4 linked regions of the Diceros bicornis minor genome follow. The protein of the gene in region 2 purifies or fractionates together with the protein of the main gene of each other region. This does not show direct contact. Links are inferred from orthologs where the notes say so. Each region holds a gene or a part of one and is shown on either strand. Other genes may lie near its edges. The genes, in order: WDR35, TULP3, IFT140 and SIRT1.

What was found.
Region 1: the proteins of TULP3 (region 2) and WDR35 purify together in Homo sapiens (affinity purification with mass spectrometry; 5 studies listed by BioGRID and IntAct, counting the BioPlex papers as one, with this or other methods). This does not show direct contact. The link is inferred for Diceros bicornis minor from reciprocal best matches to the Homo sapiens genes TULP3 and WDR35.
Region 3: the proteins of TULP3 (region 2) and IFT140 purify together in Homo sapiens (affinity purification with mass spectrometry; 5 studies listed by BioGRID and IntAct, counting the BioPlex papers as one, with this or other methods). This does not show direct contact. The link is inferred for Diceros bicornis minor from reciprocal best matches to the Homo sapiens genes TULP3 and IFT140.
Region 4: the proteins of TULP3 (region 2) and SIRT1 purify together in Homo sapiens (affinity purification with mass spectrometry; 5 studies listed by BioGRID and IntAct, counting the BioPlex papers as one, with this or other methods). This does not show direct contact. The link is inferred for Diceros bicornis minor from reciprocal best matches to the Homo sapiens genes TULP3 and SIRT1.

What each region holds. Positions count from the first base shown.
Region 1 is NC_080751.1:61,804,981-61,812,770, forward strand, and holds the start of WDR35 (WD repeat-containing protein 35), read left to right. Parts: upstream 1-4,773; 5' UTR 4,774-4,777; coding exon 4,778-4,876; intron 4,877-5,568; coding exon 5,569-5,686; intron 5,687-7,790. Other genes in the region: MATN3 (matrilin-3), read left to right, coding at 1,437-1,492. UniProt on the Homo sapiens protein: As a component of the IFT complex A (IFT-A), a complex required for retrograde ciliary transport and entry into cilia of G protein-coupled receptors (GPCRs), it is involved in ciliogenesis and ciliary protein trafficking.
Region 2 is NC_080756.1:58,499,190-58,506,474, reverse strand, and holds the start of TULP3 (tubby-related protein 3), read left to right. Parts: upstream 1-4,283; 5' UTR 4,284-4,334; coding exon 4,335-4,375; intron 4,376-7,285. Other genes in the region: RHNO1 (RAD9, HUS1, RAD1-interacting nuclear orphan protein 1), read left to right, coding at 515-682, 1,769-2,326. UniProt on the Homo sapiens protein: Negative regulator of the Shh signaling transduction pathway: recruited to primary cilia via association with the IFT complex A (IFT-A) and is required for recruitment of G protein-coupled receptor GPR161 to cilia, a promoter of PKA-dependent basal repression machinery in Shh signaling.
Region 3 is NC_080765.1:46,786,591-46,794,067, reverse strand, and holds the start of IFT140 (intraflagellar transport protein 140 homolog), read right to left. Parts: upstream 3,005-7,477; 5' UTR 2,975-3,004; intron 2,726-2,974; exon of another isoform or gene 2,112-2,725; intron 1-2,111. Other genes in the region: CRAMP1 (protein cramped-like), read left to right, coding at 6,650-6,759, 7,300-7,477. UniProt on the Homo sapiens protein: Component of the IFT complex A (IFT-A), a complex required for retrograde ciliary transport and entry into cilia of G protein-coupled receptors (GPCRs).
Region 4 is NC_080745.1:37,974,011-37,981,256, forward strand, and holds the start of SIRT1 (NAD-dependent protein deacetylase sirtuin-1), read right to left. Parts: upstream 3,013-7,246; 5' UTR 2,935-3,012; coding exon 2,517-2,934; intron 916-2,516; coding exon 799-915; intron 1-798. UniProt on the Homo sapiens protein: NAD-dependent protein deacetylase that links transcriptional regulation directly to intracellular energetics and participates in the coordination of several separated cellular functions such as cell cycle, response to DNA damage, metabolism, apoptosis and autophagy.

The sequences.
Region 1 (7,790 bases), on a different chromosome or scaffold from region 2:
CTTTCTTTAGTGCTTCTCCATAGCAGTATATGCTCCTAATTGAGATCTTAGTAACAGATGGAGCTCTTATGCTGATTCCTTCAGATGGCTTTCTTAGTTCAGAATCTGTACATGTACAGAATGAGTCAGCTGATAAGGGGTGTGACGGCTCAGATGACACGTAGTTGTACACTTCGGCTAGCCAGGTGGTCAAAAAGCAGATTCCAAAATGTAACGTGGTGCCATCTCAGAAACTTTCAAAATCAGTTCTTTAGCCAAATGAGTAATTTAGGAAAAGTACTTTTTCTTAGCACAGTTAACAACACTGTTCCTAGGGGCCTGAGGCGAGTGGTATTCAAATTGCGATGGGGATACCCTAGGAGTATGCAGAGACTTTGGGGGGAATAGGGGTGCACAGAACGTTTTAAAGGAACCAGTTCCAAAGCCTTCACTTCCTTAAATTGATCTGCCTAAAATGGTACTTGGGGTCAGTTGGCATTCTCTTTTCCCATCTCTCACTTCAGGATCACCCTTCTCCTAACTTTACCCAAGAAACGCATACCTCCCACTCAGCCTGAGATTACCAAGGTGAACTTCTTGGAAAAGTACAATCTCCAGAGCCACACAAAGGGAGGATTCAATAGCTTTTTAAATCAAGGCTTCATAAACACTGCTCCCCTATTCCATTCCATTAAGAGATACCTTTCCAGTTAAATCTTACCTTTTATTTTTAACGATTTTATGTCAAAATTTGTAATTTATTTTGTTTGGATCAATTATGTGTTCATAATAGCTGTAATGGTAATCCAGATGATTAAAAACAAAATTTAGGGCCTTTATGGTCAAAGAAAATTGATTTAAAGGTAATTTCAATATAAATGTGTGTGTGCTTGTTGTTTGTATAAGCTTACTTGAGAAGTACAATAGAGTGATCCAGAAAAGATTTCCAAGATTCAAAGTGGAATAAAATTCTGTGGAGAAAGTAGAAAGGAAATACAAATTCAAGGAAATACAAATTCCTTTATTTTAAATATTTTATTTTAGAAGAATGATAGTAGGTATTAATTCAGTACGATATTAATATTATGTGGGATACATTTGAAAGACTGATTTAAATGTTATTTTAAAGACTCAGTATTTATAGCAGAAACTGCATATTTTGTAAATAAAACATGATAATTTTCATATAATTTAAATATGCATGACATGACTTATTGTCAAGATTATTTTAGGGAATATATGAGCAAAAACGTCTGAAGACCACTGCTTTATATCGTGCTTTCTAAAGAACAGAATTTCTGAGTTTTAGATTAAACTAGACTTTTGGTGAGAAAACAATTTTGCTCTTTTTGTTTACAATAGAATGTAATTATTTCTTTTGTATTGAAGTGTTTGAAAGTATGTTTACATTTTCTAATGTCTAAAAATCAATAGTGTTGGCCTTAACAACTAGCCACTTGATGACGTTTTGGAGAAGTTGCAAGCAAATGAATATGGACAAATACATCGTTAAGTTTCTCAAATTTTTCACCTGGAAAATATGGAGAGCTTGGTGTATTTAATACTTTGCGTACTCCAATGTTCCTGCTAATAATTTGCCATTACAAATGCCTGAATATTACTGGATAAGTAGTATGAGGATCTTCTGGAGAATCAGTATCATTTTTCTAAGGAAATAAATGTCCAGATCCTCATTAAGAACAAACTTTAGTGTCTAAGCTATGACTGTGAAATGGTTGGTAGAAATAGAATGAAAAGTTTAATGTTTCTTTCTGTCTTTACTAATTGAGCCATTTAATTTTTAAATGTTTATATTAGTAAGATAACCATACTTACAATGGGAACTTCTGATCTATTTTCTCTTGATAATATTTATGGTATAAAACAATCTTATTACTGAAAGTGTAAATTGTACAAAGTATTTACACATACAAAAGTTGATATAATTAAATTGAGAGGAATATAATTTAGAACTGTTTCTTTAACATTTTTTGTTTTTACTAGAGTATTATTGAAGCTGTGATCAGGGGATTGTAATATACATATCTAAACATAGTTAACACAGATCAAGTGAACATTACATGCCATTTTTAATTCATTCTGATGTTAGAAAGAAACACACAACTAAAGACTTTAGTTGTGAAATAAGAATGTTGTAACTTTTTACAAAGGACATAAAATCCTACATTTAGTTTATTGTTTTACTTTAAGATCCTATCAATAAAATTATATATTTATAAATATTGCTATAACAAGTAACAAAACCTAATGTTGTCTTTTTAAATGTTAGTGATAAGCCTAACTTTTTTTCACTTATATATTTGATACATGTTTTTAGCTTTAAAACTTATAACTTTTAGAAGAAAACAATCCTTTAAATTGTGTACAACTCAAGTCCTCTTTTGGTTTGTATTGTCTTTGGTATAATAAAAAAGTTAGTATCTTTATATATTATTGTCATCCCTTTTTGTCGTGACTCATATCAATTTTGTCTATTAACATATTTCCTTAAACTAAATTAACATTTATTTTGAATATATAACAGTTTCTTGTCAAAGGACAAAATGTTGTGACTCTTCCTATAATTTAATCTTATGCTCTTAAGGTTAAAAATGTAAGTTCAGGGGCCAACCCCGTGGCCTAGTGGTTGAGTTCGGCATGCTCTTTCGGCGGCCTGGGGTTTGGGTCGTGGGCACGGACCTACACCACTCGTCCGCAGCCATGCTGTGGCAGCGACCCATATACAAAATAGAGGAAGACTGGCACAGATGTTAGCTCACGGCGAATATTCCTCAAGCAAAAAGAGGAAGACTGGCAACAGATGTTAGCTCAAGGCGAATATTCCTCAGCAAAAAACCAAACAAACAAAAAGTAAGTTCAGGTTAAATACAAAGGCTTTAATCAAGAATGTCATGGGAGAGGGAATAAAACAAAATTATCTAAATTTATATAAAATATTGTTGAGGCTACATTAATATATGTGCCTGAGAAGCAAATATAACCTCAGATGTAAACCCAGAAAACAGTCAAAAATCTAAAATATAAACTTTAAAGGGAAGAAATGAAAAATAAATACATCAAGGGAGTATATATTATATGAAACATATTGTTATTTCTTAACATTTTTGAAAGGACATGATATACAGTAGTTATTTTCCAAACTTATTTGAGCATAGAGTCAGTAATGTTAATATATCACAGAGAAATGGTGCTATAGAAGGAATAAGAGCTCATGTGCAAGAACTAGGGAAAGGTATTTAAAAAGATGATTTTTAAACAGTGTGACCATCAGTAACTAGCTTCAACTAATCATGTCTTAAACTTGACCAGTTGATTGGAATCCCCCGGCTTAGATAATACTGATTTGTTTCATGAGTCCAGTGTAGGGTGCCCGTGAGCATGTGCCAACATATCTTAGGAATTTACAGTTTGGTGCTGAAAAAACAGATACACATACATTTGAAAAGAAATGCATATATTATCTGAATGGGATGGGGGTTATGTGTGGAAAGAATTTCCCAGGGAGACCTGCTTTGTGTGTTTGGCTAGGCACAATTGGCCAAGAGGGTAAGGACATCATAGGATATATAAAATGGCCTTGGAAGCAGAGAGGAATGGTAGGTTGCAGGAAGTATATTGGCTTTCTTAGAATGGGGGCACCATAGTAAAGACGTTTTAGGATTGAAGGAAGATCTGATTTTAGCTGGGGTTTAGATTTGATAGGAAAGGCATTAGGAGCATTTCAATTCTTGAGTGTGCTGGGTGAGGCAAACAGACTCAGGTCAGAGGATTTGAACATTTGCTTGAGATGGGGAAAGAAGCTACTGCTGCATAAAGTACATGCTAGATTATACAAATCAACAGTGGTAGCTACAGAATGTGGGAAAAGGAAAAACCAGAGAGAAATAAAAAACGGGTGAGACTAAATAATTTCATGCGAGTTTCTGCCCTATGCCTAAAATTGTGGTGATTTGTAACTCTCCAAGCATTCAAACAGGACAAAGGAGAATTGAAGAAAGAAATATGGTAGAACAAGAAGAGAATATTCAACAGTCGACCCAGGAGAGAAAATACCAAGCACCTCAATTAGTATTTAAAAATGGAAGGCTATACCCCAATGGCAATCATACACTGTAATGGCCCAAAGCTCATACATATTGTTTTTATAAGGACTCTTGGGCTGCAGTAACAGCTTAAATAAGATGTTAAAAAGTTCTGAAACAAACGTAATAAACACAATCTCCTGTCCCCAAACTGCTCCAGAGGGTTCTCCAATTCCCAAAAGCGCATGGGAAGGTTTGCAAGCTCTGAAAACGCACATTCCCAATTTCATGTGGCCGACGGTGTCAGTTTACCAAATACAGTAAATGAATTTTCCCTTTCAACAATGTTGGGACTTTGGGGCTTACAAAATACCCAATCATTGTGACCTCATTTGAAGGAGCGCCTGTCCTGAGTCGATCCTGACACCTCAGGCGAGCTCCACCGCGACCATCCCAGGTGTGGCAGGTGCTCCGTGCCCTCAAAGACTGAGGGCAGCTGAGACGAGGCGGCAGGGCGCTGAGGGTCAGCGACGAGGCCCCAAGCAGGGGGCAAAAAGGCCCAGAAGCAAACACACCACGTCCAACCACAGCTTCGGCCCCGCGACCACCGTTCCTACAAGCCCCCCGCTGCCCGCGCAGGCGCACGACGCCCGGGGCCCGTGCGAGGGCGACACCGGAAGTGCCCTCGGCGCCCCGGATGCGACCGGGCGGCGGCGGTTGCCAGGGCGACGGGAGCTTCTGCAAGCCGCTGGTACATGCCATTGGCGACGGAGAACAAGTTTCGTGCTGCGGGCCTTGACGGCGGGGGTCGTCCTGTCGGGGTTCCCAGGATGTTCTTTTACCTGAGCAAGAAAGTGAGTTTTTTGGGGGCGCCCCCGCTTCTCCTCCGTTCTGGCGTCCTGCGGGCGATTCCCGCATCCTGCCGGCGAAGCCAGGCGCCTGATCGCGGCTTCGCCATCCTACCCCAACCAGCCTCTGACCTCCTCCAGCCGATCCTCGAGTCCCAGGTAGTCCGTGGGGGGACGGGGGGGCAGCAGCCTCCTCGCACGACTGTCTCCCATTACTGCCCCAGGCTAGGTCCTTTTGGGGGGTCAGCAGGGCAGAGCACTGCGTGCTTGCCTGTCTTTCCTCCTGCTCCTGTTGCTGATCCAGGTGACTTAAATTCTTTGGATCATCCCGGACCTCTGGGCAAGAGAAACGTAGTAACAAAAGAGTAGCCTAAGTGTTGTATGTAGAAAAGGAATATGGACTAATGGTATGGATTTATACCTCCTAACCGCCCCCCCCCCCCCAAATTTATCTGGTGACTCCGGTGAGGGGTTCCTCCGCAGTCACTGCTCTTCTCTCCTGTTCTCTTCTTTCTGTCTTTCCCAAATGGTAGGGCCCGGGGAAGCTCAGGGGACTGTGCCCGCATCATAACAGCTCACTCTTTCATAAGGGTGACCGTCTTTCTTCTTGGGGGATTTTCTTCAGCCTTCATCTCCTGTGGACTCACTTCTCGACTCCTTCGTGACAAGTTGTATGAGTGGTTGTGGTTGCCTTTCAGATTGCCATTCCCAATAATGTGAAGCTGAAATGCATATCTTGGAACAAGGACCAAGGATTCATAGCATGTGGTGGCGAAGATGGATTACTGAAAGTTTTGAAATTAGAGACACAGACAGGTAAATGAATGCAAGCCCAAATGTTTGAACTTGATGGAAGATTGGCTTGTGTCATTTGTTCAGTGGGATTTGCTCATGGTATTCGTTAGTATGCCATTCTAATTCTTTTAAAAGGAAAAAAACAAAATCCCAAACATCTTGTGTTTTTGTAGAGCGTTTTTGCAATAAAGTTCAGAGAATATCGAATGTAAATGTCAGGTGGCTTTTGCTGAAGTTATTGATGAAAAGTGAAAAAGAATGAAAAATGAAAATTAAGCCACTGTGCTGTCTTGTGCTATGTCTGTTTGTTGTGCTTTATTATTAGGAGTCTAGTAAAAATCGTGTGAATCAGCATTTCAGTGAGTCACAAAATCTTACATTTTGGCAGATTATTTGTAGGCCTATCTCATCTTTTCCACTTATCAGATGGGTCAATTATTATGTATCTAGTTTCCAAGAACAGAAAACGGGGTTTTAAAAAAACCCCTTTTTTTTCTTTTTTTGCTGAGGAAGATTGGCACAGATGTTAGCTCAGGGCCAATGTGGGATGCCACTATAGCATGGCTTAATGAGCAGTGTGTAGGTCCACCCCTGGGATCTGGCCCTGCAAACCCCCCGCCGAGGAACTTAACCACTGCACCAGGGGCAAAGGCCCTAAAAAAAAAAACTTTTTTTTTTTAATAAGTCTCTTGTCATTACAGCTTAATTTCTCTTCTTCTAGTTCTTTGGAATCATAGCAAACTTCACAAAGCAGAATTTCACATTTCTTTAGCATCCCTAGTGTTGCTCTAGATTGGAGATCTAGGTAATCCCCTATCTGAATTGGAGATCTAGATAAGGAGATTGGAGTTGGAATCGCTGCTCTGCCATAAGACTTCTGAAGGACTTTCAGCAAATTGCTGAATATCTTTGGGCTTTAGTTCACTCTTTTGTGAAATGAGAGGTTGAACTAAATTACATTTTGAATTCCTTACAGTATTGTGTGTCAGACTTTATCAGGCATAAGAATCATCTGAAGAGATTGTTAAAATGGATGTCTGGGCTCCAGCCCCAGAGTCGATCTGGGATAGGGTCTGAAAATTTGCATTTCTAGTGATACTGGTGTTGCTTGGTTCTCAGATCACACTTTGAGTAGCGCTGCTTTACCATTTTGAATGTGGTTGGAATCATAAATGTTTACTGATCATTTTCTATGTATGGGGTGCTTAACTTTCACTATCTCATTTGACTTGACAATAATCTTGAGAGGTAGGTATTCCAGATGAGAAAGCTGAGGCTCTGATCAGTTAACCACGGGCACACAGCCAGTAAGTGGCAGAGCTGGGATTTGAAACTAAGCTTGTCTCATTTTTACGTCTTTGTAACCATTACACAAAGTGCTTGGTGGACAGCCTAAGCAAAGAGAGAATAATTGTTTTCATGTGCTAGATTAATTATATGAATAAAAGGCAGGTAGATACTTATGTACCAATTAGAGTTTGGCTTCTGATGTTTAATAATTTAATGTTTCAGTGCTTTAGTTTTCTTAACTGTGTTAAAATAACTTTTCTCTGTTATGCCTTTCAAACATGTATATGTATATATATGTATTTTTTATTTTGCTTAAAATATGTAGCAAGTTTTAGTTACATTAAGAAATGCATTCATTATGTAAAACATCGAAGGCTTTTCCAAAAAAAATTGCTTTTTTTCTCTCTCTGCCCTTTTGATGAAGTATAGGGTATTCTTTGAAATTAGTGAGCGAGATGGAAAATAGATTCTTGAGGTTTGGAAAATGGAGTAAATTATTTGTTTTCGAACTTATTGAGTGTAAATCATGTTGAAAGAGTTAAATATGAGAAATATAGCTGGAAGATTCTAACAAGGTCAGTATATTGTATTTAATAATAATAGTTGTGATGCAGCAGATCCCTCTGGTAACAACCACCAGATGTTACATGCCTACTACATATCAAGCATTGTGTTGTGCTGAAGATGTTATGTTGTAAGTGTGGTTTTGTAGCTTTGCTATCAAATAGCTAAGTTATTATCATTCATCAATATAATACAACAACCTCTATATCAATAAAACGTCTTCTGTAGCATCATTTTTAATGGCTGTTTAGTATTCCATTATGTTGGTATA
Region 2 (7,285 bases):
CTTCCATACCCAGGTCAGGTATCACCCTCTCTAGAAAGCCTCCCCTGGGGTGAGTGGAAGCATTCTTCCCATTGTTGTAATTGTCTGTCTCCCTCTGCTAGACTCTCAGCTCTTTGAAGACAGGGACAGTCTGACCTCTGTGTTTCTACAAGTGGTTGGCACTCAATAAATGATCGTAGAATAAATGGTTATTCATCTTTAACTTCCCGACACCCAGCATGGTGCTTAACACTTGCTCGATAAATGTCCATTGAGCGAATGCTGTTGAATGTGAACCACTGTGTTTTTACTCGCTGTATATAGGAAGCTGTGCTCCCCACAGTCTTGAGGTAGGGGTGGTAGTTGAGAGTAGAACTCGCTGGCAGGGTATGAGAAAAAGCTGGGGAATCGTCAGAATTACTTTCTCCCAGCTTTTGTTTCTTCTCTGCAGGCATGGGTTGGAATTGGAGCCACTCCCCCGACCTGACTACAACCAGCATCATGTGGTTACTAACTGCTCTTCATTCACTTCTTGATGCCTCCCAGAAAAAAACGCCGCCCAAGTTGCCAGAAAGCCCAGCTGCTATTCCACCATCAGCCACTGGAGAGCCCCAAACACCGCTATGGATCTCCACAGCTTCCCATCACCTACACTAGGCAGGTGCCCAGCAAGCCCATTGACCACAACACCGTCACTTCCTGGGTAGGCCATGGATTCTTACTGTGACCTTTACTCTGTTAGGTTTCTCACAATGCTGACTCTTCTGCCCCTTGAACCAGGGCCTCCAAAGAATAAGAAGATTCATGGGGGCAGGGACAAGGAGATAATATACTCTTTCTGTCATCGTCAGCCATCTTCTCTGGTATATCTTCTTTTCTAAGTTCAAACTGAGGCATGGTGTGGTTGGAATTGGAGTCTCCCGCCACATTCCTCTGAGAGAGTTCAGTATCAAAGTTTCACCTCCCACTAGCTGGGCGAGAAAGCCAGATAAGTGGCAGAACAAGTACAAAATGGGATTGTTCCCTGAGCTTCACGTGAGAGGTAAAGTATTTGGGTAGGTACTCTATTTACTGTTTAATAGTCTGAACCTTGAAAAAGAGCCACAGAAATGGCATATGTCATATTTTGTTAAAAGCCCTGGAGAGAGAACATAGCTCCTATAAGTCAGGGAAGTAGAATAGCAAAAGAGCCAGACAAAAGCATAAACTCTGCCTAAGAGTGCTTAATAAATGTAACTTGTCGGGGTTGCTTGGAAAAGCCATAATATTTGCTTCAGGATTGTAGAAGAGACTTAAATGTTAGAATCCTGGGGATGAGAAGAGGAATGAAATTTGTTGAGAATTCATTATGTGCTAGATCCTATGCTAGTTATTTTGCATACGCGGTCTCACTCCCTATTCTTGCATTCAGCCATTCATTCATTACTGGGTCCTTTCCTGTGTCAGGCACTCTGCTAGGTGCTGGGGATCAATGGTGAATAAGGCTGGTCGCTGCCCTCAAAGTTTAAAGATAGTTAAGTTGCAGCCATATGGTGTGATAAAGTGAAAGAGGCATTGTCCCCTTTCTTACACATGAGGAAACTGAAAGCCAGAGAGATTAAATAACTTGCCCAAAGCTCATATCCTTATCTATCTATCACATTAGACAGGTGTTTTTGTTTTGTGTCCATTACTATAGTAGGCCCCCATTTGGGATTCTGGACGTTGGGTGTAGTTTCCTTCCTGAGGTTTGTACTTGGTAGTTGGCTCTCCTCAGCTTTTTTTTTTTTTTTTTTTTTTTCATCCTTAGGTATCACCTCAGTTTGATACAACAGCAGAAAACTCGTTCCCAGCCAACCGGAAACGTCGTCGCAGAGACCAGGCAAGACATTCAAGTCGAAAATCTACCACCTCCAAGTTTCCACATCTAACATTTGAGAGTCCACAGTCTTCTTCCAGTTCAGCCACACTTGGGATCCCCTTAACCGGGGGATACCCCAATCAATCAGAAAAGGACATTTCCAGAAGGCCCTTCATTCCAATGCTCAGTCCCCAGAGCTGTGGGGAGCTGTCATCACACGCACTTCAAAACTTGCCTTATGTGTTCATTCCACCTGAAATCCGGACCCCAGAGTCATCTTCTGTGAAGGAGGGGCCCATTCCCCCAGATCAGAGGGAAGACAGCCTTCCAAGCTGCTCCCTTCACACTAGTACTCCCAAGAGCCCAGAGCCTGGGCCTGTTCTGGTTAAAGACACTCCTGAGGAGAAGTATGGGATAAAGGTCACGTGGAGGAGACGAGGGCACCTGTTTACTTACCTCAAGGAGAGAGGGAAGCTGAGCAAAAGCCAGTTCCTTGTGAAAAAGTGACTGGGTTTCTCAGATAACAGTAATCTCAAGACATTGATTGCTGGTTTTCACAGAGTTGCTCAAGTCGCTTTTCTGGCTCACAAGATAGCACATCGATAGAATAAAGTGGAAATAATACCAATAACATCAATAGAAAAAGATATTTTAACTAGACCCCTGGAGTCATAGGGAATTCAATTCCCAGATTTACTTTTTTAAATATCTTGTCATAAACAGTTCTTAGTGTCATAAACTGTTTACTTCATATTTTTCTTGTATTAACTGTTTCAAATTTTAACGTATCTTGTAGTAACTGTTTAAAATGTATGTAAACAAATGGTTGCAGGAACTTTTTAGAGAACCCTGCTTCTGACTGCCCCCTCCACAGAGGGTCTTTCCTAATGGTTTCCTTTAGCCACTACTCGTTAATCCTTTAGTCACCTCATGCAAACCAATTCATTCCACAGTTTTGAGTACTGACTCTGCGTCAGGCTCAGTGGCAGCTTCCTCTATGACCTGATGGATGGAAAAAATCTAAGCAAATTCTGTGACTTTTTATAGTTGAGCTGCCGCCTCTGCAACCTTGGCTCCTCTGCTGAAAGGAGAAGATTGAAGAAGGGGCAGCAAGCCCTGTTTAGTGAATACAGTGGGATCAGGGCAGGTAAAGGGGACATGAGTAAGTTACTTAGGTTTGCTGTGTTTTGATTTTTATTTCCAACCGAAGAAATCTCTAAATATTAAATAGGGTGGGAAAATGATTTCTTGCAGTAACTGTTTGAAATGTATGTAAATAAATGTGGAAACTTTTCAGAGAACAGTGCTTCTTATTGTAATTAATGCGGGACTACCCAGTCAACAAAATGTTTCCACTGGCCTTTCATCGATACAAATAGCATTTCATTCAACTCCATTCATTCAGCTTTAAGAACCCACTCTGTCAGGTCCAGCCGAGCCAGAAAGCAGGGATTATTGTGTTTGTTTTACGGACGGGAATTTGAAACACAGATGGTGAACCACGCTCAGGGTCGCATGGTGGGTGGAGGCTGGCCCAGTGAGTGCCGTGCTCTGCTCTTCTCGCTTGTGCCAAGTTCCATGCCTCTTAGAAATTCAAAACCAATGTGGAAACAACTTTGACGTCGGAATGCTATAAACTGAGGTCAGTGTGCAGTAACTGTCCGGATGTTTTGTGGGGACCATAACGCTGTATGTAAGTTGGTGGTGAGAAAAGAAGTGATGGTTGGGGACAAGATTTACTGGAAACGATAGCACAGATTTACACAGCGGATCTCGTCATGGAGTATGGATGTTTGAAGACGGTCCATAGGCTGTAGAGAGAGGTCATGGAAAAGATTGTCAGGAGAGTCCGTGGAGAAGGTCTAGAATGCTCTAAAAGCCTGGGCTGGAGTGGGGAGGCTGAAGGAGTTTTGTGCAGTTGAGTGCAAGACCAGGTAACTATATGAAAGATGCATTTAATTGGGTGTGACTGCTGCAGAGGGGACAAGTGTGGCTCCCAGGAAGGCCCTGGTGTCAGGGAAGGGGCCGGTCTGTGAGGGAGCGGGCAGAGATCTGCAAGCCCTAACATTACAGCCCTCGGGAAGCGCTCTGGGTGGTCTCAGTACAAACGGCAGAGGATTGGGGACGCCGCTCCGCGCGTGGCGGCTAGCGGGGGTAGGCGGCCCCTCCGACGGACTGGCTGCCTCGCCGCGGGAGCCCACGCGGCCGAGCGGGACCCAACACTCGGCCCTCAGCCCCTTCCCGGCGCCGCGCTCCAGGGCCGGAGCCCCAGCGCGTCAGCCCCGCTCCGGCGCAGGCGCCTCGCCTCCCGGTTCCTCCGCCCCTAGAAACCCTCCCGCAGCGCCGGGCGGCGGCCACAGCCAATGAGACAGGAGCGGCGGCACGAGGGCCAATGGGCGGCGGCGACAGTGCGGGGTGCGTTGCCAGGGGCGGGGCCTGGCTGCCGGCCAGGCTTGCCACCCTAGCAGCGGCGTCCCGGGGTCTGGATGTGGTTGTCTCCTTCTGGGCGGCGGGGATGGAGGCTCCGCGCTGCCGGCTCGGACCCCGCGGGGACAGGTCAGAGACGGGTGGTGGCTGGTCTCGTCTCGAGCGGGCGGAGGGCCTGAGACCGCGGCCGTCCTTGCGGGGGCTCTGAAGCGAGAGCGCTCGGTCGGGGGACGAGGCGGGAGGCGAGCAGAGGACCCCTTTTACAGGGGCGCGCTGGGGAGCAGCGGCTCTGCGGCGGCGCCGGGAGTGGGGCCTTCGTGTTCGTGTTCAGGTCCCAGCTTGGGAAACTCGTGGAGCTTTTTACGAGCTCGCCTTGCCCTCTGTGGGCCTCCTCACTCGGAGCGCGTTACCCTGCCCCTCGCACTGCCCAGCAGTGTCATTGCTGAGGTTGCATGAAGTCTCCGGGCTGTTGAAGCGGAAGGTTCTGGGTGATGTTTGATAGTTTGCTTAATGCGGTTGCGTCGGGCAGGCAGTGCTGAATTCTGCAAGAGTCCGACGGCTGAAAATGCAAAACTAGTCATCTTTTGCTATCTGCTTCTTAGTAACTCGCTCTTATGCGGCGTTGTCTGTCGTATTTGCAGTGGACCATGCCCCTTGTTTGTGCTCCTCTTGCTCTGCCATGCCCCTTTTTTCCTGCCTCCGCCAGAGGGAGAGCCTGGAAAAGAAGACGATCCGAAATCTCAGCCTGCCAATTTCTTGTTAGCTGGGTTAATGAAAAGTTAACGGGGAGCAGTGTGAAATGATTGGCTTAAAACTTTGGCATTGTCTGAGGATTTATTCTATTACCATAGCAAATAAAGATTTAGCATGTAAGGACTTAGTCTGATATTTAGACTAGTCGATGTTTAAACAATTGTAAACCATTTAAAAGCGTTGTCAGGAAGGAGGCGTTGGGGTACAGAACACTCATTTTTCTCTTTCATCAGATTTCATTGACGTAATAGCTGCGCTCTGTGAAATGTGTTCGCTGCTCTTTTTTTTCAAGTGGAGAGAAAAATATGCTACATTTACGAGTACAAATATGAAAATGCTAGGAGGAGGTAAAGTTAAAATTCAGCGTCTGTGTTGAATTCAGATGGTGCTTGTTAAGTTGTGGTCACTCAGTAAATCTTTTTTTTTTTACGAGGAGATCAGCCCTGTGCTAACATCTGCCAATCCTCCTCTTTTTTTTTGCTGAGGAAGACTGGCCCTGGGCTAACATCTGTGCCCATCTTCCTCTACTTCATATGGGACGCCACCACAGCATGGCTTGACAAGCAGTGTGTTGGTGTGCGCCTGGGATCCGAACCTGCGAACCCCAGGCCACCGCAGCGGAGCACGAGCACTTAACTGCTTGCGCCACCTGGCCGGCCCAGTAAATCTTAATTGAATGAATTTCAGGGAGTAAATTTCATGGGTACGAGATGTTTGATATGACTCATGATTTTTGAAAAAAAAAAATTGAATTGACTGAAATTGAGACAAGGAGGCAAAATGGTTTTTAATTTATTGGACTTGAAGTTTAAAGGGATAATTTAGAAGTTTTTCTGTCTTTTTTCTTCCCAAAGAAACCAGCTCTTTAATTTTAAATCCAAGGGGAATGTGTGAGTCACGGAATGTTCCTCCTGCAGCAGGTACTGTTAGTGCAGCTTCTAGCACAGTTTAACTCATTCGTTGCTGAGAGAAAGTGGAATAGGTCTTGCTTTTTTGGCTTTAATGGTTTTGATGAAATACATTGATAGAGTTTTTGGTATTAATACCTTTCAATGTGAAAGATAACATCTGACTTCTAAGTTTCTTGTGATTTTTTTCTTCTTTAATTATGTGACTCTTTTACCATGAGGCGGATGTATTTTCAACAAAGTATGGTAGTCCCCTCTTGTCCGTGGTTTCTTTTCCCGGGTTTCAGTTATTCGTGGTCACCCATGGTGGGAAAATATTAAATGGAAAATTCCAGAAATAAACAATTTGTAAGTTTTAAATTATAAGCAGTTCTGAGTGATGAAATCTGGAGTGGTCCAGCTCTGTCCCACCTAGCACGTGAATTATCGCTTTGTCCAGGTATCCACTGTGTGTACCTACCGGCCTGTTAGACCGTTAGTTAGGGAAAAATAGTACAAATGGGGTTCGGTACTACCCGTGATTTCAGGCACCCACTGGGGGTCTTGGAACGTTTCCCCTGTGAATAAGGGGGCACTACTGTAGAAAAATTATTAACAAGTAAACTCCAAATGTTTTTCCTATATCTGAAATATTTAGTGGAAATTGGAGATGGAATTTGAGACAGCACTCTCGGGACTTTTGTTGGGGCTAGGCATTTTGTATTATGGGTTCCCTGGAGATGACAGTGGTTTGCTACTCCTACAACTTGAGCTCCCTCTAGCCTTTTGTTCCTGATAGAAAATTGAAGATGTGATGAGAGAGACTTTTCTTTCTCGGTGTGATGAGAGAGACTTTTCTCGGTGTGATGTGACCTTGTGACCCAGAGTTGACTAAGAAAGTCCTAGTCTGTGGTTTATCCATATGCCATGATTTCTCTTTAGAAATATGAACAGTAGTAGTGCCTGAAAGTTATGTCTTGGCCAGGCTTGTTATCCTCTCTCATGTTCTCTCTTTTTAAAATGTTTCATCAGATGGACTAATTGTTGGCAAACAGACTTACCCAGTGCTTAAAAATACTTAGATTAACTTATACATGACCTCAGTATGTTTGGCAAATATCGAAAGCTATGGTAAAGGCCTAATAACATCTAGTGTGCGTGTGTTTTCCGAAATGTGAAGGCTACATACAGACCTAGGAAGGAAAGAATAATCCCTGTAATAAATTTCCCTTCTTCCAAGATCCTTCTGTTCCAAGCAGACAGACTCAGATAGTTTTTGGAATAGTTTCATTTCTGGCTTCTCTTATTTCCTGTGGAAACTCCGCTGTTTTCCCTGCATTTGTGCCCGTTGAAAGAAAAAGTTAATGTTTCCTCTCAACCAAGAGGAAAAGTATGCTTG
Region 3 (7,477 bases), on a different chromosome or scaffold from region 2:
ATACGATAGTTGTATCAGAGGAAGCCACGAAGGCTCAGCTTGGATCCAGAGAAGGAAACTCTGTCCAGTGAAAAGCTGGAAGGCATGCGGGTACAGATGCACAGTCACATTTCAAATGTTTACTTTTTTCTTATGAATATATACCCTGAATACTAGACAAAGGCACAATTTTCGAGCTTGTACTCTCACCACCACGGACTGAAGAGCACCTATTCAGGGCTCCTAGTGGAGCAGTGAGTGGGGGCGGGTGGGGGGACAGGAGTCAGGGGAAGGGGCTGGATCCAGGGTCCCCTGCGCACACACATCACTACATCTACACTGGTCAAGGCTCCAACTTCTGGGAGTAAAGTCCTTATGCAGGGGTCAGCCCCGCGGCGAAGCAGTTAAGTGCATGCACTCTGCTGCTGGCGGCCTGGGTTCGGATCCTGGGTGCGCACTGCTTGTCAGGCCCTGCTGTGGTGGCGTCCCACATAAAGTGGAGGAAGATCGTCACGGATGTTAGCTCAGGGCAAGTCTTCCTCAGCAAAAAGAGGAGGATTGGCATGGATGTTAGCTCAGGGCTGATCTTCCTCACATACACGCACAAAAAAGTTCTTATGCAAACCTTCAAACAAAGCCATTGAAAATGAAAACATGCCAGATAAAAACCTGGGCGATTTAATATAGCAAAGGAAACCTTTTAAAGTGAGTTTTAACTTGTCGCAGCCAATCAACAGTCTAAACTCCTGGCTATGGGAAATTCATATTCATATTTAACAAGTTTACTTTGTGAAAATATTCCTCTGAAAAATGAGTAACATGTTAATTTTGCTGTAACGATGGAGAAAGAATATAAGTAGCACTTTAAAAAGTTAAAACCGGGGTTCACCGGTTCGGATCCTGGGCGCACACTTACTCACCGCTCATCAAGCCATGCTGAGGTGGCATCCCACATAGAAGAACCAGAAAGACCTACAACCAGGATATATAACTATGTACTGGGGCTTTGGAGAGAAAAAAGAAAAAGAGGAAGATTGCCAACAGATGTTAGCTCAGGCCCAATCTGCCTCAAAAAAAAAAAAAAGAAAGAAAAAGTTAAACTTGATCTCTTCTATTTTTTTTTCAGACATCACTTTCTAATAAGAATGTATACTAAGAGATTTCTTTTTTGTGTGTGTGTGAGGAAGATTAGCCCTGAGCTAACATCTGTTGCCAATCCTCCTCTTGCTGAGGAAGCTTGGCCCTGGGCTAACATCCGTGCCCACCTTCCTCTACTTTACATGTGTCGCCGCCACAGCATGGCTTGATAGGCGGTGCGTAGGTCCGTGCTGGGGATCCGAACCTGCAAACCCTGGGCTGCCAAAGCTGAACGGGCGAACTTAACTGCTATGCCACTGGGCCAGCCCCACTACTAGATCTTTAAATTACTTTTTTCCTGCCTGGGGCTTTCCCAGAGGCCCTCCCTCACACCCCTCCTTTGGACACAGGAATCCAGCCTCCTTTCCTCCAGGGAGCTCTCGGACAACTTTTGGGGTGTTCTGTGCTTCTGCCCAGTGTATCCATAGAACCCTGTTCTTCTCCATATGGCTGCATTTAGACATTACTGTAAATGCGTGTTTGACTGACTATCCTCCACCCCCTACCAGATTATCTGCCCCACAGGGTGGGAGACCCCCAGAGAGTCCCCAGCCCCTAGAACAGTGCCTTGCACAGAACAGGCCCCCAATATGTGAATCCCTGTTGAAAACATTTATTAGCCAGGAAAGATGGTCTTGATGTTTTGTTGTAAAAAGTGGGTTACTGGCCAGGGTGAATGAGTCCATTTTTATACAATGTATGATTGTGCATCATTCCTTTCACCTGCATTTTAACATTTTTCTACAATGAATAAGTATTATCTGCATAATTATAAAAGAAAAGTTACCAAAATAAACACAAAGAGGAGAGACGACTAACAATAAAATCGTTACCTAATGACATCTGTTAATAGCATCAGTTCAGAAACAAGTTCACTTCCTTCCCTTAAAACAAACTCAGGGTCTCTTAGAACATAAAAAGATTTGGCAAAGGTATAAACTTTGGAGAAAACAAAAAAAAAATTCCATTTATTCTAACCGATTGGCTTTTCTCACCTCTAGGCGTCCAACGTCCTTATGGCCTCCATTAAACCAACTTTTGGGAAAGAATCTGTTAGGTTCACTCAACTAAGGAGTTCTTGGTATTAAAGCTAATTTGGTTGCACCACTGCTTGGAGATGCTGTATGAGGAAACCGGAGGACTTTGGGGCAATAGGGGCTGAGCAAGGGCGTGGGGGGCAGGCACTAGTGGCCACCCTGCAAAGCCTCTCTCTCTAGGCCACGGGCCCCGGGCCTCGGGCAGTGCAGGGTCATAGCTGCGTCTCATGGACACGAAGGACAGGCATTCGCTGGTCTGGGACAGTGCGGTTCCCTGGGGCCGCAGGACCGACAGTGCAGGACGGTGGCTTTCTCACTCTCTCCCTACCCCCAGCATCACCGGGAGCTCTGCCCGCGCGGCCCACCCACTACCCGGTCCGCGCCCCCCGAACTCTCACGGCCACGCGGTCCTCAATCGGATCTGGACTGCGCCTGAGGTGGACGTCGGCTCGCGCTGACCGCTCGACGCCGCGCCCAGCACCCCCAGCCTTCACCTGACCTGAGAGGAGCCGCGGGCGCTTGGCCCATGACAGATTTCCAGACGAAAATAACCTGGGAGGGCGCGGGACAGGGTCTGGCCCGCCGCATCGTCTCCCTCCTCCCGGCCCCAGGCCCCCGCGCCCCCGAGGCTCCCCACCCCTCGGTCCCCCCGAGCCCCGCCCCGGCCCCGCCTCGTCGACGTCCCCCTCCCCGGCTCCCAGCCCCCCAACTCGCCCTCCCTTCCCACTCTCCCCGCCACCCCCGGTTCCCCGCGCTCCCCCCCCACCCCGTTCCCCGCGCTCCCACACCCCTGGCGGCCCTCACCCCGGAACCGCACTCACCAGGGTCTGGCCGCCGGGCGGCCGCGCGTTGCCGGGACAACGGCTGCGAGCGGAACGCGGAAACAGCCGAAGGTGAGCGATGCGGCCGCCGAGGCCGCCCGAATCGCCCCGAGAGGCCGGAAACAGTCGAAGACGATCGGGAATCTTCGTGCGGCGCCGACTGCGGGATGATCCCCGCGGGTCCCCGCAGGAGGCCAGCTCGGTGGACCCGCGGGGCAATTTCTCCCCATCGCAGCCGAAGTCTGGCATCAACAACGCTAGCTCGGAAGGGGGCCAGAGAGACCAGGGAAGAGAGGCGAAGCTGGTGAAATTCTTCCAGGTGTGATGGGGATGCAAAGCCTGTTGGGACCCGCTCCTGTAGTTACATCTTTCCAAGCACGTAGGTCAATCAGGAGGTGGAGGAGGCAGCAGAGAGTAGGGGGGAGAAACGAAACGCCATCTTCTTGAAGATTCCCTCCTCTCTGGTTAATCTTATTGCTAGATCCTCCGGACCCCACCGTTTGCTAGGCTCCGCTCTGTCTGGTCTCAAGGAGGAGGATGTGTTTCAAGAGTATTTTAGAGAAAAGCCAGTTGGTTCGACATAGTTCCTTGAAGTTATTAGGTAACTAACGACATGCGTTCAATGCTTTGGGGGCCATATGGACGCCTTCGGCGAGAAAATGGTAGCCAACGATACGGGCTAGAAGCCAGCCTGATTCGTGGCGGCAGCTGCATTCCCAAAGGCATTTTACAACGTGCGCCTGGCCTAACGTCAGCTGTGGTCAAACTAACTTTGAAAAACAAATCAACGTCATGTCATAAAAAAAATAGTTCATATTGCACACCCTCCTCCTTGAGACCAGACAGAGCGGAGCCTAGCAAAGGGTGGGGTCCGGAAGATCTAGCAATAAGATTAACCAGAGAGGAGGGAATCTTCAAGAAGACGGCGTTTCGTGCCCCACCCCACCCCCACCGCTGCTTCCTCCACCTCCTGATTGACCTACGTGCTTGGAAAGATGTAACTACAGGAGCGGGTCCCAAAGGTCCACATTGTTAAACAAATGAAAAAGTAAGAGGAAAATGTAGATACTACTGGATCGGACGGGATTACATACGTACAAGGACGATTCTATTTTTAAAAACCCAATTTTCGTAAACACTAGAATTTTTTTATTGAATAAGTTGGACATGTAACATTGTTATACAGCGTTTTAATTTGATACGTTTATATACGTAATATGATTGCCGATATAGCCATATCTATCATATTATATAATTACAGTACAAAATTATTGTCTATACTCATTATACTGTGCATTGGACCTCTATGGCTTATTTACTACTTACAAGTTTGTACCCTTAAACAGCATCAAACTCACCCCCGCCCGCCATATACACTAGAATTTTAAAAAACACTTTTATCGCCATAACAAAGAAAAATGAGCTAAGTGCCCAGCACCATCTGTTACGCTAAAGAACTTCAAAAGCACACACTCGATCCAATAAAGGCTGTGTTTATCCGCCTCAGTTGTACTTTCACACTTCGTTAAAAACTCGGTTCCCGCCGACTCAAGACTCCGAGCTGAGGCGGCGTTTTCTTCTCACGCATCCGTCAACACGGCTCCGGCCAATCACAGCCCTGGCGCTGACTCTATTGGCTGTTAATCCACCAATCCAGAGAGACGCACCGGCCCGCACGGGCGCGAGCCCGGCGTCACAACATTACCCGCGTCGCAGGCCCGCCCCTCGTTCCCGCCCCGCGTCCGTGCGTGCCTGTGAGCGCGCCCGCTGCTGGCCAATGGGAGCGCCCGTAGTGGGGTGCGCACGGTGGAAACCTCGGGCGTGCTCGTCCCCGCGCGCGTCGCCCCGCCCCGGCCCGCGTGCCCGCCGCCCCGGCCCCGCCCCACGCGTCGTCCCCGCGGTCTCCGCCGGCCGCCGTAGCCGGAACTGCTGCTGAACGCGGCGGGCCGGGCCTCCCGGAGGCTGAGCGGCGGCAGCACCGGTGCCCGCAGCCCCGTCAGCCGCACGCCGGCCGCGGAGGGGACGTGCCGGGGCGAGCGTCGCTCGGCTACCGCTTCTGAGGCGGGAGGATCACTGCGGCGTCGCGGCCTCTCTGTAGCCGGCACTCGGGGGCTGGGACTGCCCGGCCCGGCCGGTTCTGCGGGCGCCCGGGAGGCCCCCGGGGGTCCCGGGAAGCCAGGCTGCTGCAAGGCGTTGATGAAAAAGGTGACCAGAGACTGGGGCTCGGGAGAGGTGGGCCGCCCTGACCGGCTGTCACGGTGAGGCCCGGCTCCCAGCCGGAGCGGGGCTGCGGGAGAAGCGGCCTGCGCCCTCGCGGCGGCGGCTACGCATGCGGTGCTTTCCCGGGGCTTTGCCGGGAGCGAGAAATATTGCGTTGACAGCGCTCTTTGTGTGCAGCCGGAAATCAGCCCAAGAGGGAAGGTTTTGCTTTTCTCTTCCCGAAATGTGACAAACGGTGTCGAGCCAGGATTGGGCTTGAAGTGATCCCATGTCTGTGGATGGTCAGGAAGTAATGCTGGAGGTTTTCAGTGAAAGATTCCATCCCTATGTTTTCCTTTTCTCTTAGGGGAAAACTCTGAAATGTATCAGTATCCTTTTAATTCTGAAAAGCTGTGTCCTTCTGTGTTCAGTTTAGTGTCTGTCTTCCAGTATTCAACCGGGCAAATGGGCAAGTTTAATCTGTTGTGACTGATGTATGCTTTGCCTGGGTCCTGGGTTGACTGTGGGTAGCTTTGCGATGATAGGTCCCTGGGAAGTAGGGTTCTCCACATTATAACCCAGAGAAAGGCCCTTTGGGATATTTTCAGGTGCCTTAAGTAGAAATGGATAGGTTGAGAAATGAATAGTGAGAAGCCCTGTGCAATGAAGTCCTTTAAGTTTGGGTATTTGTCTTGTATAGTCTATTCTTTGGCAGGATTTTCTTTTTTTTTAACTAGCATGGATTTAAATGATTTGTAAGATCAATTCCAACAGATGAAAACTGTTACAGATCATTTTGTTATGGAATATATCAGAGCAGTAGTAGGTATTACTGTGATTTTTACTCATTTCCAAATCTTTCTGTGATAGGTCCTTGCCCTTGTTACTGTATTTGACTGTTAGCCTTGATGTCTTGCTCTGGTTCTCCTTTTAAATGGAAATGTTCCCATCCTCAGCAGTTGTGATGAGCATGTCAAACGCAGTTTGGGCATGGTATCAACACCTGTTGAGGAATCTAATATTTATCTTTCTTGCTTCATCGCAGGTACACATTATTGACTATTTCTGGGCATATATTGTTGATGTGTACCTGATTCTCTTAATTTTTGAGTGGATCTGTTTTCTGGGCTGCAAACATTTTGAGGGTCATCGCATTTTGTTGTTGACATTTCACACAGCAGTGGGTAACAAAGTTAAGGCAAGAATTTTATGAATGGTTACCAAGAGTTTTAACACAATTATCTTCTAACCCATTCTTGCATTTGGCCCTAGACATAACTGTGCTGTCACTTTCACGGGTGGCTCCAACCTGTTCCGTGCAACAGGCTCCTTTGTTGTAAAAGCATTTTTAATTCGTAAATCCCCGCAGCCGCACACATCTTCCACCCTGGGAAGCAAGATTCCCAGAAACCCCGAGCTTATTATTCTTTATGTCTGTTTTAAAATAAGCAGGCGGACCGGCAGCCGCGGGCCACCATGGAGTTCCCTGTGCACGCAGGCGAGCCCGCGCCTCTCCCCTGCCGGGGTCGATCTGGGCCGGTCGCCCCCACTCCGGGGCCAACTTTGGGGGCCAGCGTGCGGGGCAGGTGCGCGGGCCGGAGCCCCGCGCGTTTTGGGGGGCGGGGAGGGGTGGGGTCCGGGGGCGCGGGCGCCGAGGCCCGGCCGGCCCAGGCAGCGCGGGGAGCGAGGCCGGCGCGCAGCCTGCCCGCCGCGCAGGCCATGAGCCGCGGGCCCGCAGGGTAGGTGGCTCCGGGCCCCGACCCTGGGACCCCAGGAACCCGGGACCCCGGCCTCGGCCCCCTACCCGATCCCGCCGGGGCTGGGGCGCCGCGCGGCCAGGGCCGTCCGGGTGCGGCCCCCAAGCTGCTGCCCCGCCGCCTCCGCGCCGCCCCGGCCGCCGTTTCCTGGGCAGCGGGCGGGCGCGCGAGGGTCCGGGCTGGGGTCGGGCGGGCGGCGGGCTCGGGCCCCGGTCGGGCTGGGGCTCGGGCGGGCGGGCGGGCCGCCGGGAGGGGATCTGGAACAAACAACGGCGGCCATGTTGAGAGGGAATCGGGGCGGCTAAACTTCTCCGGCAGGCTGCCGGGCCGCGCGCCTCACGAGGGTCTCCTCGCCCCCCTCCCCGCCAGGATGACAGTGAAGTTGGGAGACGGCAGCAGCGGGGAGGAAGGGCTCAAGAGGCTGGGCAAGAGGTCGGCCGATGAGGACTCGCTGGAAGGAGAGGGCGCCGGCGGCGGGGACGCGGCCGAGGAGAGCGGCGGCACAAAGAGGGACGGCAAGACCCCCCGGGACGGCGGCGACGGCCCC
Region 4 (7,246 bases), on a different chromosome or scaffold from region 2:
TAAGAAAAAGATTACTTTTGAGATGATCATGTTATAACTTTGGTATAAAAATCTGATAGTGTTTTCTACTTCAAAATACTTTCCCATTTCATCTACATACTTAATAAATATTTACTGAGCACAAACTATGTGTCAGGCACTTTTCTAGGCACTGACAAAACAGTGTACCAATCAGTCAAAAATCCTGCCCCCATGGGGCTTATACTCTAGTACAGGAAACAAGACAATAAAAAAAGTTAAGTGTTGGGCCGGCCCTGGGGCTTAGCGGTTAAGTGCGCGGGCTCCGCTACTGGCGGCCGGGGTTCAGATCCTGGGCGCACACGGACACACCGTTTCTCTGGCCATGCTGAGGCCGGGTCCCACATACAGCAACTAGAAGGATGTGCAGCTATAACATACAACTATCCCCTGGGGCTTTGGGGGAAAAATAAATAAATAAAATTTAAAAAAAAAAGTGTTAAGAAAAATTAAAGAAGAGATATGAAGTGAGGGAGCAAGATACTCTTAATGGGAGGAAGAGCATTCCACACAGAAGGTATGAGTGAAAAGGGCTCGAGGTGTGAGAGAGACCTGGTTGAGAAATACCAGATGCCAGCTTCCGTGGGCCTGAGCTGCTACAAACAAAAACAGAACAAAGCACTAGACTTTCCCTAGAAACATAAGCTGACATTAAATCTCAGCAAGCACTTAAGAACCTCATCACTAGGTTATAAGGGGGCAGAGAATTACACTTTCAGTTGGCATAAAACAAAAATACAAAGAAAAAAACATTTATTCTCTAAAGCTGTGAAACCATACCTATCCGCGGCCTTGGAGTCCAGTCACTAGAGCTTGCATGTGAGGCTCTATCATCCTCATCGCTTTCACAAGAATGAAAACCGTTGGTGATTATTTCATCACCAAACAGAAGATCATCTGCAAAAGAAACCAAAAGTAACTCAAGGTTGCTTAAACAATCTACATCTAAAATGTACGAAGATCTACAATGCAAAGATTTTCTTTCTGGTTTTTGTTGGTGAGGAAGATTGGCCCTGAGCTAACATTGGTAGGCATCTTGCTTCTATTTTGTGTATGTCATGCCGCCACAGCACCACTTGATGAGCCGTGCATAGGTCCGCGCCCGGGATCTAAACCTGCGAACCCCAGGCCGCACAACTGGAGTGCGCGAACTTAACCACTAAGCCACCACGCCCACTCCTGAATAAAGCACGTAACATTTATACAGCCCGTGTAAAGAATGCCTACTGGGTTAGCTTTCACCGTTCACAGGAGCAGTATATCCTCATTTTTAGCGCTTCTTCCCAGAATCTAAAAGTTTCAGTTCGTCAAAATTTAAATAAATTGGGTCTACCTAATCAAAACACAAAAAGTAGTAACCTAGTTAGATTGACTTTATCGATCACAAAGAATGGAGTTCATGAAACTTGTCACACAAAAATTCACCAAAAAAGTCGTTCAAATGAAGTACAGCAATTTGCACTTCTCTTACATAATACTAAGTATACAATGATATCTTTGCATTATTCGTTTCCCCTATTAAAGTGTGTTTCTTGAAATCAGGAGTCGTTTTACTAATCCAGTTCCTAATGCACACGTTGTTACCTTTACAGATGGTCAAATGGTCCACTGATTGGATTTGATACAAATACTGATAAACACAGGGCAGAAACTCCTCAGATGGAAAATAAGAAACCTTCAAAGATGACATGACATATACAACTAACAACCGCTTGCGTATGCCAGAAAAAATGTCAATTCGTGTTTCAAGGTTACATATACACACACAAAAAGATTATACTTAATCTAAAAACCATTATAAGAACATGATTAGAGGAGAAATACTATGCATATAAAGTGCTCTACAAGTACTATCACTCCTATGCCCACTATTAATTGCACCACAGAAGGGTAATGTCTTTACGTAACGTCTTTATACTCTTCAAATTTTGCAGGTTATGACTTTAGAAATAGCTTTGCTGTTTAAAATTTAAGCTAGCTCAAAAATAAAGACCAACTGCACAGTCACCAATTGTCAAAAGTCACCAATTGCACAGGTGTCAGTTTGCAAAGACGACTGCAAAAGGTCGATGCAAAAGTTGCAGATTTAATTGTGCTGGGGGGGGGCGGGGGGTGGGAAGCAAAAGATGTCTAACAAAAGCAATATGTTATAAGAGTAGGAGGAGAGAGAAACATTTTAAAACCAACTGCAAGAGCTTCCCGGTCCGGCGGCTGCGCAAAGCGCGAAGCCCGGGCGGGCGGCGGACAGAGGGAAGGCGGGAGGAGAGGGAGGGAGCGAGTCCGCGGGCCGCTCGCGCAGCCAAGCCAGCAGCAGCCGGGCCAGCAGCACCGGAGGCGCGCAGCTCAGGAGGGCCGTGGTTGGGAGGGGCACGCCACAGAGCCAGCCCTGAGCCCCCAGCCCGCACCAGGGAACCCCCCCCCCACCGACCCCACCCCAGGAGGGGCCCCGGGAGAGGGAGGAGGGGATGCGCAGTCCCGGCCGCCCGCGCCCTGCGCACCTCGGTACCCAATCGCCGCCGCCGCCGCCGTCGCCTCTTCCTCCTCCTCGCCTTCGTCGTCGCCTTCGTCGTCGCCTTCGTTGTCGTCGTCGTCGTCGTCGAAGTCGTCGGCCGCTGGCGGCTCCCGGGATAGGCCCTGTAGGCCCGGCCCATTGTCTCCTCTGGCCGCCGCCGCCGCCTGGGCCTCCCGCTCCCCGCCCGCCACCGCCGCTGCCGGGCAGCTCCCGGCCGCCGCCGGCACCTCACGCTCGGGGGCCGCCCCACCAGGCTCGCCCGGGCTCCGCCCGAGGCCGGGGCCGTCTCTCCGCGGCCTCTTGCGGAGCGGCTCCCCGGCGGGTGGCGACGCGGCCTCCCTCTCGGCCGCCACAGCCGAGGGGGAGCCGCCGGACTGAAGGGCGAGCGCCGCCTCGTCCGCCATCTTCCAAACTGCCTCTCTGGCCCACCTCCGTCGCCTCCTCTGCTCCCGCTCGACTCGCGGCACTGGCGCCCCCGCGGCTCCGGCTGCGGGAGATTTAAACCCCGTCACGTGACCCGGCCCTCCCCGCCCCCGCCGCTCCCGCCACCCACGCGGGCTGGACCACAACACGGCGGGTCACGTGGCTGGCGAAGGCGGCGTGGGCCCGGAGGAAACGCACCTTGGGCGGTGCCGCCCCACCCCTTGGCGGCAGGCGCTCGGTGCTGCCAAACTCACCCCTTTCTCAACTTCTCTTTCGAACTGTCGTTAAATCGCTGCCGCCAGGCTGGCTCAAGCTTTGATTCACAGTGCGAGTTTCCACTTCTGCCTTAAGTGCACACCTTGCTTGCTTTAGTCTTTTCAAGATTTAAGCTAAGGGTTAAAACTTAGTTCCTGAGAGGCGAGAAGGAATGAAGCTGGCCAAGGCTTAGCTCCCGGACGGAGGCTGGATGGTGGGTCTGTTTTGTTAACAGGTGTGAGTAGAGGCGAAAGGACACAGCTCACTCCTCACACCATTCTGACAGCTCCTCTTGGCTCCTTTTTCTCTTTGCTTCTCTCCTAAGCCGATTGCTTTTTCCCCCTCTCTCCATCAGTTGTAGGGTGATGTAGGCTGTCAAATCCTTAAAGACATGTGTACCCCCTGGAAAGACCTTTGACTTGGGGGGTTGGGGATCAACCTGTCTGCTTTCTGGCCTCAGCTTGGCTCCAAATGTGTGTGAATTCCCTTCTCTGGGCTTCACAAAGTGAGTGTATTGGGTCAAGTGGGGCAATATAAGAAGAGTACAGAATGAGCATGACTTGGCCCCTATACACCTCTGGGTTTGGGTTAGTATTTGAGATCTTTCCCTTCTAACTTGAGCAAGTTAGTTAACCTTTCTAAACCCAGTGTTCTCATCTCTAAAATGGTAATACCTATTTTTTAGGGTTGTGATGAGAATTAAATGAGATAGCCAGATGTAAAGTGAGGGATACATAGTAGCTCAAAAATATTAGTTACTTCCCTATTCGAAGCCCCTACTTTCCATTTACCCTGAAATTGCAGGACTCTGTCACTCCATATCTATCTTTAACTAAGGACTCATATAATACATGGCAGATCTAGAGCCAGTGCTTGGTAGGGCATCTGCTTCTGGAGTGCGGCATTTCTGTCCACTTAAAGCGCCTCTCCGAGTTTACAGTAAATCATCCCTTAAGCTGAACGTGGGTCTTGCCTATACTGCACCAATTACTTGTGTGAATTTAGGCAAGCAACTTAAGTTGTTTCTTCGTTCTTAAAAAAAAGTAGAATATTGGAAATCTATCTCTAAGGTCCCATCTATATCCAAAAGTCTTTGTACCTCAAATTAAACTGAGAATCTCCCCTTACAACTGATCATTTCTTTTCATTTCTGAAAGTGATTATTTCTTTCAAGAAGACTTGGAATCAACTTTGAAGTGTTTCTTCAGACTGATGCTCTGTAACCAATCAGTGACCAAATCCTGTTGTGCTTCCTTCCTTCCTATACTCTCTCCAATTCCTGACTACATAGATACCTCCCTGGCTGATATACTTGGACCTGTTCTCTCCCCACTTTGTCTATCTTGTTCTACAAAATATTTCATAAATTCTTTCTCAGCCACGTTGGTGGGATGTAATATATGAAATGTTGAGAGTCAGTATCCCATCAAAATAGAAACAAAATTCCTAGCTTTTTTGAGAAAGACCTTTGTAAGCTTATGGACATCCTGTTATTCATTCATTCATTCATTTATATATATCATGAATCAAAGACATTTGCTAGTCTTTATTGTGATCAATATGATTGCTAGTGTACTGATAGGTCAGAGATGGGGTACACGTGGCAGGTAGGATAAATGAGAGACAGAAATTGTATTAAAAAACAAAACAAACACACACCTTCTCAACTAGATATCTGGCCTACCAGGAGTTGAGAACAACTTGCCTGAAATTCAAGTCATTCTTAGTCCTTAAGGCTTGCAAGTTCACATTCAGTTTTTCAAGTCTCCCATGAATCTGGCCTTGACCTTCTTGTAAATATTTTTAGCATTAGTATATTCTAAACCGAGCTATTCATGTACCAGACTTTTTTTTTTTTTTTTTTGCTTGAGGAAGATTCACCCTGAGCTAACATCTGTGCCAGTCTTCCTCTATCTTATACATGGGTCGCTGTCACAGCACGGCTGCCGATAGTAGTGTAGGTCCACGCCCAGGAACTGAACCCAGGCCACTGAAGCAGAATGCGTCAGACTTAACCACTAGGCCACAGGCTGGCCCCCAAACCATTTTTTTTAAAATGAGGAAGCTCTTTGGGGCCGCCATGTGGCATAGTGGTTAAGTTCAGTGTATTCCACTTTGGCGGCCCAGGTTTGCAGGTTCAAAACCCCGGGCATGGACTTACACTGCTTGTCAGCCATGCTGTGGCGGCAACCCACATACAAAATAGAGGAAGATTGGCACAGATGTTAGCTCAGGGCAAATCTTCCTCAAGCAAAAAAAAATAAAAATAAATAAATGAGGAAGCTCTTTAAGTTGTCATATGGAATGCTCTCCATGCTGCACAGTGCAAGATGTAGAACAGTGTGTGTAGCACTATTTGTGAGAAAATAAAAGGGAGAGTGTGGAAGGGAGACCATATATATGTATTTGCTTATATATGTACAAAATAACACTAGAAGCGCTTAAAATAAATACATATATGCCTGCCATATATTTGTCATACTGTTTTGCCTGTATCTCCTTCCCTAGAATGAGTCCTCTCTATACCTTATTCAGAACGTTATAGAGCACATTCCCCTATTTTGCTTGTTAACTTATTTTTCTCTATGTGTTTTACTGACTGTCTCCCCCAGCTACAGCAGGAATTTGGTTCATGTGGTTCACCTCTGTGTTATCAGCTCTCTAGTAGAGTAACTAGCACATCTATTTATTGAATGAAAGAATAAAGAATCTAAATGAAGATTTCCATATAGGAAAAGAATTAGTGAATGAAAGGTGATGGGCAGCATGAATCCTAAACAAAAAAAGGCAAGAAGCAAGGCAAGGAAATTCAGTTTGTCCCCAGCACAGTTCAGGTGAGAAAGTTAATGAAACATGACATGACCTGTTTCTTGTTTGACAGGATGAACGTAGGTGCATTGGGCTGTGAGGTGTTTTCCAACACGAACCACCAGTTCTGATTCTCCAGATACCAACTGGGTATTTAACAGTTCAACTCAATTATGACACTGGACTGCCCCCACTTCAGATGCCAGTCACCAGTCCCAGACCTCCTGTACAAACTGGCTATAAACAGGGAGTTCCCATGACACTTACAAAGGATACAAATGAACAGCTAGATGAAGAGGTACGTAGGGCAAGGTCCAGAAAGGTCCAGAGCACAGGAGCTTCTGTCCCTGTGGAGTTGGGTCACACCACCTTCTTAGCTCATGGATGTGTTAACCAATTCAGAAGCTCTCTGAAGCTCCTTGTTGAAGACTTTTTATAGAGTTCAATCTCCAGTGCGCTCCATCCCTCTCTCTGGAGGTCAGGAGTGGGGCTGAAAGTTCCTGCCCTCTAACCACTTGGTCTTTCTGGTGACCAGCCCCAGCTGAAGCTATCTAGGAGCCCCACCCTAAGCTACCTCATTAGCATAAACTCAGGAGTGAAGGAAAGGAGTTCATTATGAATAACAAAAGACACTCCTAACACTCAGCAAATTCCAAGGGTGTTAGGAGGTGTGTTTCAGAAACAGGACAAAGACAAATATTTATTTTTTATTATACCAAAGGCTGTCATAGACTTCTCACACTAGTCACTAGGATTTTTAACTTGTTTTCAAATTCTAAGCCCCCTAAGCAGCCTTCAACAGTAATTTGGTTTCCCATATAGACTGTCCCACTGGGAAGAAAATGTTCCAAGAGCCAACAATAATATTCTGGCTGACTTGGCAGCTCTATTTATATGAACAAAAAAATTGGCCTTATAGCTTTGATTTCAATCTCATGTGACTACAATTAGTAGGGGAGTTAGTATCAATTCTTTGTGTACTGAAAAACAGTATTAGCAAAACAGGTTATTAATGTGGAAAAACACAAATACAGATTCCTACCTCACACTAAATACAAAAATAAATTCCAAGTGGATTGAAGATCTACATGAAAAAAATATAATAAAAATATTAGAAGACATTTTATAATATATAATTTTGCATCAAAAAGAACTAAGACAGAAGCCATTTAAAATATATAAATTTATAAAATATATTCTAAAAATATATATTTGACTATATAAATATTT